Oryctolagus cuniculus: one gene and its partner. The protein of the gene in region 2 purifies or fractionates together with the protein of the main gene of each other region. This does not show direct contact. Links are inferred from orthologs where the notes say so. Each region holds a gene or a part of one and is shown on either strand. Other genes may lie near its edges.

Region 1 (3,747 bases), on a different chromosome or scaffold from region 2:
AACTGTTTAATAAGAATTAATAAATGAGGAATTCTTACCCCAATTTACAATGAGAAAATTGAAGCTTAGATTTGTTAAACTTCCCAAGATCATACATGATCTCAAGTTCACGTTAGAGCTCTGTTTTCAATTCAAGTGGGGTTCTAAAGCTTCAGTCACTATGTTTAGATAATAATTGCTTGTGGTGAACTACTTTGAAATACCTTTTTTGCTTTTCTTACAGCTACATACCACTCTTCATAGTTAGGGGTACTTCTTATAAGTTTGTGTGGCGCTTTCGTTCTGTCCTTTCCAGGTATAGCTCTTATTCCTTCAGTTTTTTATATTGTATTCTTTGATTGTATTTATCAAGATTCAGAAGTCTGATATCTCTGAGAGATGTACTCTTTTTGTCTGCTGTCTTCTTGTCTGGAGGCATATTGGATACTGAGAATTGAGGAGAGAAAGAGAGTAGAAATGTAAATGTAGATCTTCTATTAAAAGGACTTAATATCAAATTAAATACTGGGCACATAGCAGGAGAGCTGGGCTATAACAAGATCCTCATAGTTCTATTCCACTACCAGTCAGAAACTATGCTGAAGTTAGTCATTTGATCTACTGGTTGAGACACTGTGTCTCATTTCGTGTGACTGGGCTTGATTCTCAGCTCCAGCTTCTGACTTCTTGCAGAAGCAGACCCTCAGAGCAGCAAATGATGGTTCAAATGATTGGGTCCTTGCCACCCACATGGAAGACCTGGAGCTCCTGGCCTTGGCCTTGCCCAGGCCTGCCATTACAGGCATTTGGGGTGTAAGCCAGCAGGTGAGAGCTCTGTTCTGTCTGCCCGTGTCTCTCAAATTAAAAGGAAAGAAAAGGAAATTATTCTGTACCTAAATTCCCAAATCATAATCACTGATTAACTCAGCTCAGTGGCCCACCAAAAGCACAGTGGTAGGAGAGTACTGTTCTGATGCAGACAGGCAGGGGATGTATTATCTGTAGAGAATTGTAAAACTGACCAAAAAAATATGCTTTTTGTTGTCAGACACCTAGAAATTCTAAACTGCGACATTAATAAAGTACACCTTACTGTCACTGCCATTTCAAGGCACAACTTTTGATCCAAAAATAGGAATAGACCTAGAAAAGGCATTGTATCTAGTCTTTTCTTTTTCCAGACTGCATCTCAAGATCTTTCTTTCCAGTTTATAAAAGGAAGCAATGAAAAAGAAATATGGCAAGCAATAGAGTATAATTAAAGAATATTATTTCATTGGCTCATAAATATGTTACTTGTGTGGTGTAGAAATGCATTCAAAGAAACTCAAGTGAAGAAATCAGAAGAGTGCAGGGGGATTCCAGGGACAGAACTGCAAGTAAGTAGAATTAGGCATCCTGGAAGCTGAAGCTTTAAGACAGCAGCTTAGTGTGGGACCTCCGCAGATCTGTCCACTCAAAAGTTGTGCCTTAGTTGGACATATTCTGCTGTTGGTAATACCTTAAAAGCTGATGTTTGTTTTGTTTTTAACCATGACAGTCATTATTAAGAACCCCTGCAGGTAGGGAGAGGTTTTTTTGGTTTTGTTTTTTTGTTTTTTTGTTTTTTTTTAACAGGCAGAGTTAGACAGTGAGAGAGAGAGACAGAAAGAAAGGTCTTTCTTCTGTTGGTTCACTCCCAAATGGCCGCCATGGCCAGTGCGCTGTACCAATCCGAAGCCAGGAGCCAGGTGCTTCCTCCTGGTCTCCCATGCAGATGCAGGGGCCCAAGCACTTGGGCCATCCTCCACTGCCTTCCTGGACCACAACAGAGAGCTAAACTGGAAGAAGAGCAACCAGGACAGAATCTGACGCCCAACTGGGACTAGAACCCAGGGCACTGGCACTGCAGGCGGAGGATTAGCCAAGTGAGCCGCGGCACTGGCCTGTTTGTTTTTTTAAGATTTATTTATTTTAAAGGCAGAGTTACAGAGAGGCAGAGGCAGAGAGAGATCTTCCATCTACTAGTTCACCCCCCAAATGGCTGTAATGGCCAGAGCTGAGCTGATTCAAGCCAGGAGCCAGGAGCTTCTTCTGGGTCTCCCATGTGGTGCAGGAGCCCAAGTACTTGGGCCGTGTTCTACTGCCTCCTAGGCCATAGCAGAGAGCTGGGTCAGAAGTAGAGCAGCCAGGTCTTGAACTGGTGCCCATATAGGATGCCAGGACTGCAGGTGGTGGCGTTACCCGCTATGCCATTATAAAATCCCTAACCCCTGCAGGTAGGGATTTTATAATGAACTCCTGATACATGGTGTAATGTGCTAGCTCTCTTTCATGAAAGCTGAATTCCTGGTGCCTTAATCTTGATTAAGTTCATTCTCTGCCCTTTGAGCCCACCCTTGGGAGCCTATCATCTATTGGTAGTGGTAGGGGTCTACCACTGAGAAGGGAGTAGAATAACTTTTTGAGAAGAGGGTGAAATGTTTACTGGATTATTAATGTCCTTGAGAAGGATGAGACCCTGTTGGTTTGGATAAGGTGAGAGGAGTGTATTTGTGCATCTCACCGTCTCTTCCTTGCTCTGTCTCTACCTTTTCACACTCTTAGCCCTGTTCTGTTCTCATGCTCAGTTTTTGTGGTTAGATAAGCCATGTAAAAGATCAGTTTAAATGTTGGTATCTCAGTATGATTATTGTGTTGTACACACTTGAGGATGTCTACCTTGAGAAGAGAGGGAAGAGAGCATTCCAAAATAAGGCAGATGCTGTGATACAATTCAAACTCAAATGTGTGACACAGCTTGGATGACAATAAAGATGAGGTACTCTGGAAAATTACACTACAGATAAACTCAGAAATTTGCTATAGATACACAAACACTAATGCCTCAAAGATATGTGAACAGTTTGAATTTTACGACATTTACAAATGGGTTGGGGTAGAACAGTATTACCATTTTAGAAGTAATTTATAGGGCTTTGCATTGTTTGTAAAATAGATGGCTAAATTTTATATGGACATTTCAAATTCATTACTTTAAAAGTTTTATATTTTGAAACTGACCAATAATTTTAATGTTAACTGATTTCATTTTATTTAATATAATTATTGGAAAGTATTTCACTTTTAAGTAATGTAGAAGCCCTTTGTCTAAATTTGCATTTCTTTTAATGCACTTTTAAATTTTACAAATAGAATCTTTGGTTATTTAGCAGGTAACATCTAAAGGAACTGGTTTAAATCCCAACGCCAAAGTATGGCAAGAAATTCCTCCTGGAAATCCTGATGCCACTCCTGTAACTCATGGAACGGAAAGTTCTTGGCCTGATACAGCAGCCACATCAGGGTCCCCTCCTGAAGGTAAGTGCGAAGTGTTTTATCAGAAATATCACATTTTGTTTAAATGTGTAATCAAATCAGTTTGTAGAACTTGGACTTACATTCTTTGATTATGTGACTAAATACACTTATAAATGTTTAGTACACAGTTTACATGTAATTCTCACTCATCTAATATGAACGGATTGTCAGTAATTCCAAGTAGCAGCTGTATTGTTAAACCTAGCTTCTAACCCATTTATAATAACCTATTTATAAATCAGTTTTGCTCTAACATCATTGGCTTTGCTGTTTACTTACTGTTTGACCTTTATCAAATGACATGACTTCTCTGTGCTATTTCCTTCACCTGGAAAACAAAAACTATTACAATTACCTGTAGCAGGGGTAGGGAACCTTTTTTCTGCCAAGGGCCAATTGGGTATTTGTAACATTACTCATGGACCATAT
Region 2 (3,747 bases):
AAACCACATCCATCAAACAGTCCTCACAAGGGTCCAGAGACCCCCCCCATTTCCTCTCCTCTATGAAATTCTCTCATTACCTGGTTAATGCCACTCTTAGGATCATTTGTTGCTATTCTTGTGCTGTCTTTTATGCTACAGTGTCTGTTTAAGTGTTTACAGGTGTTGATAATGGAACGAACCAAGGTCTTCACCAACCCAGTGGTCTACCAAATGCTGCTACAGGGATATACTCAGCTCCCCACCCAGGAGACAGCAGCTTGAGATATTGCCCCATGCTAGCAAAGAGTACCTCGATGCCCCATGTCAGCAGGAAGTAGCTCTAAAGACAGATCATCGTCCCTCTACCCCTCCTGGACTTTTGGGACAAATGTAATTCCATACAACTCCTGTTGGGAATATGGCACAGTTTTATCCATGGCACGATCTACACCCCAACACCATCTTAGGCTCTAGCCCCTGCTGGCATTGCTGGAAGCCTGGTGTCCACATGGCCCAACCAACGTTGTCAAGTTCCACACCCATCCTAATGGGATTTGCTGCTCCTGCTTCCCTGCCCACCCTCTGGTAAAGTTTTAAAAGGAGCTGTTCCTGAACACATGGCTCTCTCGCTGTCTCTCTGCTCTCTTGGCTTCTCTCTTGCTCCCCTCCCTCCTCTCTCTCTTTTTCCTCTCTCCTCTCTCCTCTCTCCTCTCCTCTCTCTTCTCTCTCAGCTCCTCTCTGTTCTCTCTCTTCTCTCCTTGCTAGCTCCTCTCCTCTCTTCTCTCTCTCTCTTACACTCTCCTTCTCTCTCTTTTTCCTTCTCCATCCCTTCCCTCTGGTCCCTTTCCCTTACTCCAGTGTTTGGTGTGTTTTGTGATGACCTTACATATTCAACTCCTTAATCTTAAGTCCTTTAGTATGTACTCAGTTCCTTCCTTAATGCCATTTAGTAGGACTTTTGTGGCTCTCCTAAAGACCCTCCTATCCAGTGTATCACCTCTTGGTTTAACTCACTCTTTGCTTTGATTACTACAGTAGCTTCCTAATTCTTGATTCTAGTCCTACTCCTTCAACCCATCCCTCACTCTGATAAAAAATGCCTTCTGGTAAAATAAAATCTTGGTAGGAGAGAGATGAGGTCAGAATCCTATAGAGACTGCTCTGGGTTTAAAAATAATAACCAAATTTCTTATATGTAAATGTCTTCCAGACTACCTTGGATTTTAATTTTTCTCACCTTACCTCTCAAAGCCATCCCTCTGTAGTCAAGCTGATATCTCTGCCTGAAACAACCTTCTTTAAGTACTTTTACCATTCAGCTGTAAAAAAGAGCCCTGAGGGGATTCAACTACATATTGAGGTAAGGACCACTACACTGCTATGAGAGCTCAAACAGTAACTTGCCCTAGACCTGAGGGTCACAGCTGGCTTCCCTGAGGAGGCAACCTGAGCTGACATGCTCAAAGAAGTTTAGATTTAACTACAAGAAGGGGAGTTGGATATGGGAGGAGGAGCCTCCCAGGCAAAAGAACAATGTATGTAAAGGTCCTATGTGGATAGAATTGAGGTGTTGGAAGAGGAAGGGAAGATTAGTGTGGCCACAAAATATAGTGCAGTCTGCCAGAGCCAGTCACACTGATTCCACAGAGTGATAGTAAAAATTTTGGTTATTATCTTAAAGTATATTGAAAAGCCCAGAACTTTAGCGGGCATTCAATAAACCTCTGGTCCTGGCCACACACTTGTCCTTCAGTCCTTCACAGGCACTCACAACAGCCTTCATCTCTGCATTTGAGGAAAAGCTGGACAACCCCTCAAACCCCCCACAGATCTGAACGCTGGCAGGACAGGATGGAGGCCACTCCTCCTAGAGAAGATGTTATGTATCTCTGTCAGGTAAGCCTGAGGAGCTCTTTCCAATCATGAAGGTACTTGGGACCCCTTCCAGAAAAGAAATGGTGACACAGCCTTTATTAAAAGAGCCTCTCCAATTTCTCCTTAGGATTATTATCTTGTGTGGAAAGGAAGTGGTGTCCATAGTCAGACATGGGAGAAAAGGAGCAGTTTAGGGACTTGGAAGGAAAGTGGAGAGAGTGAATTAACATGAGTTACAGTCAGAAAGGGCTCTGTCAACAGGGTGTGGACCACCAATGAGCCTTGCCTACAAAGGCCAGAGGGCCTCCAGTAGGCATCCCCACTTCCTTGAAGCTGGAGTGAGAAGGAAGAGGCAAGAAAGCCTTACCTCACAGGCACAGGTGGACTTCTTGCAAGAGGAACAAAATGGAATGGGTCAGGCTCCCTTTGGTGATGGAGGGTCAACTAACACATCTCCATTGCAGAGATGGGGTCCCTGGCCTGAGCCAGGTATCTATACCTCTCAATTCCAGCTGGTTGCTAAACGTGAAAGGCACTGCTCCTCCCATCCTGTTGCTGCTATAAACAATACCTGAAATGGTTTCTGGATAAGGATGATGCTTCCCTTGGTTCAGAGTTGTCCTTCAGTGACCACTGGGGCCTGCCAGCATCTCTGGTGAAGGCAGGAATGACTAGAAGAAAACTACAGAGGAAAAGCCTAAATATTGCAGGACTTGATAGTCCAGAGAGCCCCCATACAGTCTACTCATCTCTCTACTTCCAGTGGCAACTCCATCTGGGTCCAGATAGACTCCAGGATAAAACCAGCATGCCCTCCCCCCCCCCCAGCCCCATAGGAGGAAGGCATGGCCAGAATCATGTTCTATAGATTGAAGAATAACTTTGGGGAGAAGCTGGTGAAAGGTACCTTCTGAAGTCTCTTTTCCATCTATCAAGGAGGGAAAACATGATGACACTTGGGCAAAAGAGAAGCAGACCCTGAGAACTGGGCACAAGCAGGGAAGAGAGCAGTGCTGGTCCTAGGAACCTCCTATATCTGTCAAGGGAGCTGGCAGTGGCCTCTTCCTTGAGTGTGTGTGATTGACCCAAAAGGTCTTGTTTTAAACCTGAACTCCCAACCCCACCTCAGGAATGCTGCTTCCAAAAGGCTCCCTAGGCAAAGTTCAAGAAACAGAATAGATTAGTTTTCTTCAAAGGGAGAAAAAAAGAATTATATTATCTGAGAGCTGATGTGAACCAAGCATGAATGAACTGTATGTTCTTGAAGGGAGATTAGAAATCCTTTCAGTTTATAGACCTTCAGCCAGGAAATCCCTCCCAGTCTACACTGTGTTGCAAGTGTAGCCATTCACCTCTCTATTTGTGCCAAGTGCTCAGGAAAGCTCTGGTATGACCCTAGTCATTGGCAGGAAACTAATCATGAGGGTAGATGATGGCAGGGATCTTCCATGACCACCACTGGAAATATAAAGCACAAAAAGTTACAAAACACACGGATTGCAGTGTAGTTCAGTATTGGAAAAACAAAAGGACTGCCAATTGGGGGTGCCAAGATGATGTACAAGTCTAGGGCCTTAAGAGGACAGCATCTTGCAGAATCCAATAGAGACTACAGAGGAAAGTAGCAAAGTCTGCAAGGGACCAAGATAACAAATAGTCTCTAGGTGGAGATCCTGGCTTTTTCCACACACCTGGGCAGCCACTTCCCATTGCCTGTCTACCTTCCAACAAGACTTCCAGGTAGCAATGTCAAGTTCTTTTGCCAAACCTGTGAGAGTGTATGTCTACTATCCTCCAATACCCCAACTAAGGATCCTTGAACTTTTTTTTTTTTTTTTGGTAAAGATTTATTTATCTATTTATTTAAAAGGTGGAGTTGTAGAGGCAGAG

The links. The genes of interacting proteins can lie anywhere in the genome.
Region 1: the proteins of RACK1 (region 2) and LARP4 purify together in Homo sapiens (affinity purification with mass spectrometry; 3 studies listed by BioGRID and IntAct, counting the BioPlex papers as one, with this or other methods). This does not show direct contact. The link is inferred for Oryctolagus cuniculus from reciprocal best matches to the Homo sapiens genes RACK1 and LARP4.

The regions. Positions count from the first base shown.
Region 1 is NC_091442.1:54,154,343-54,158,089, reverse strand, and holds the start of LARP4 (la-related protein 4), read left to right. Parts: upstream 1-901; 5' UTR 902-1,268; coding exon 1,269-1,358; intron 1,359-3,170; coding exon 3,171-3,318; intron 3,319-3,747. UniProt on the Homo sapiens protein: RNA binding protein that binds to the poly-A tract of mRNA molecules. Associates with the 40S ribosomal subunit and with polysomes. Plays a role in the regulation of mRNA translation.
Region 2 is NC_091445.1:34,938,671-34,942,417, reverse strand, and holds the start of RACK1 (small ribosomal subunit protein RACK1), read left to right. Parts: upstream 1-1,191; 5' UTR 1,192-1,878; intron 1,879-3,747. UniProt on the Homo sapiens protein: Scaffolding protein involved in the recruitment, assembly and/or regulation of a variety of signaling molecules. Interacts with a wide variety of proteins and plays a role in many cellular processes.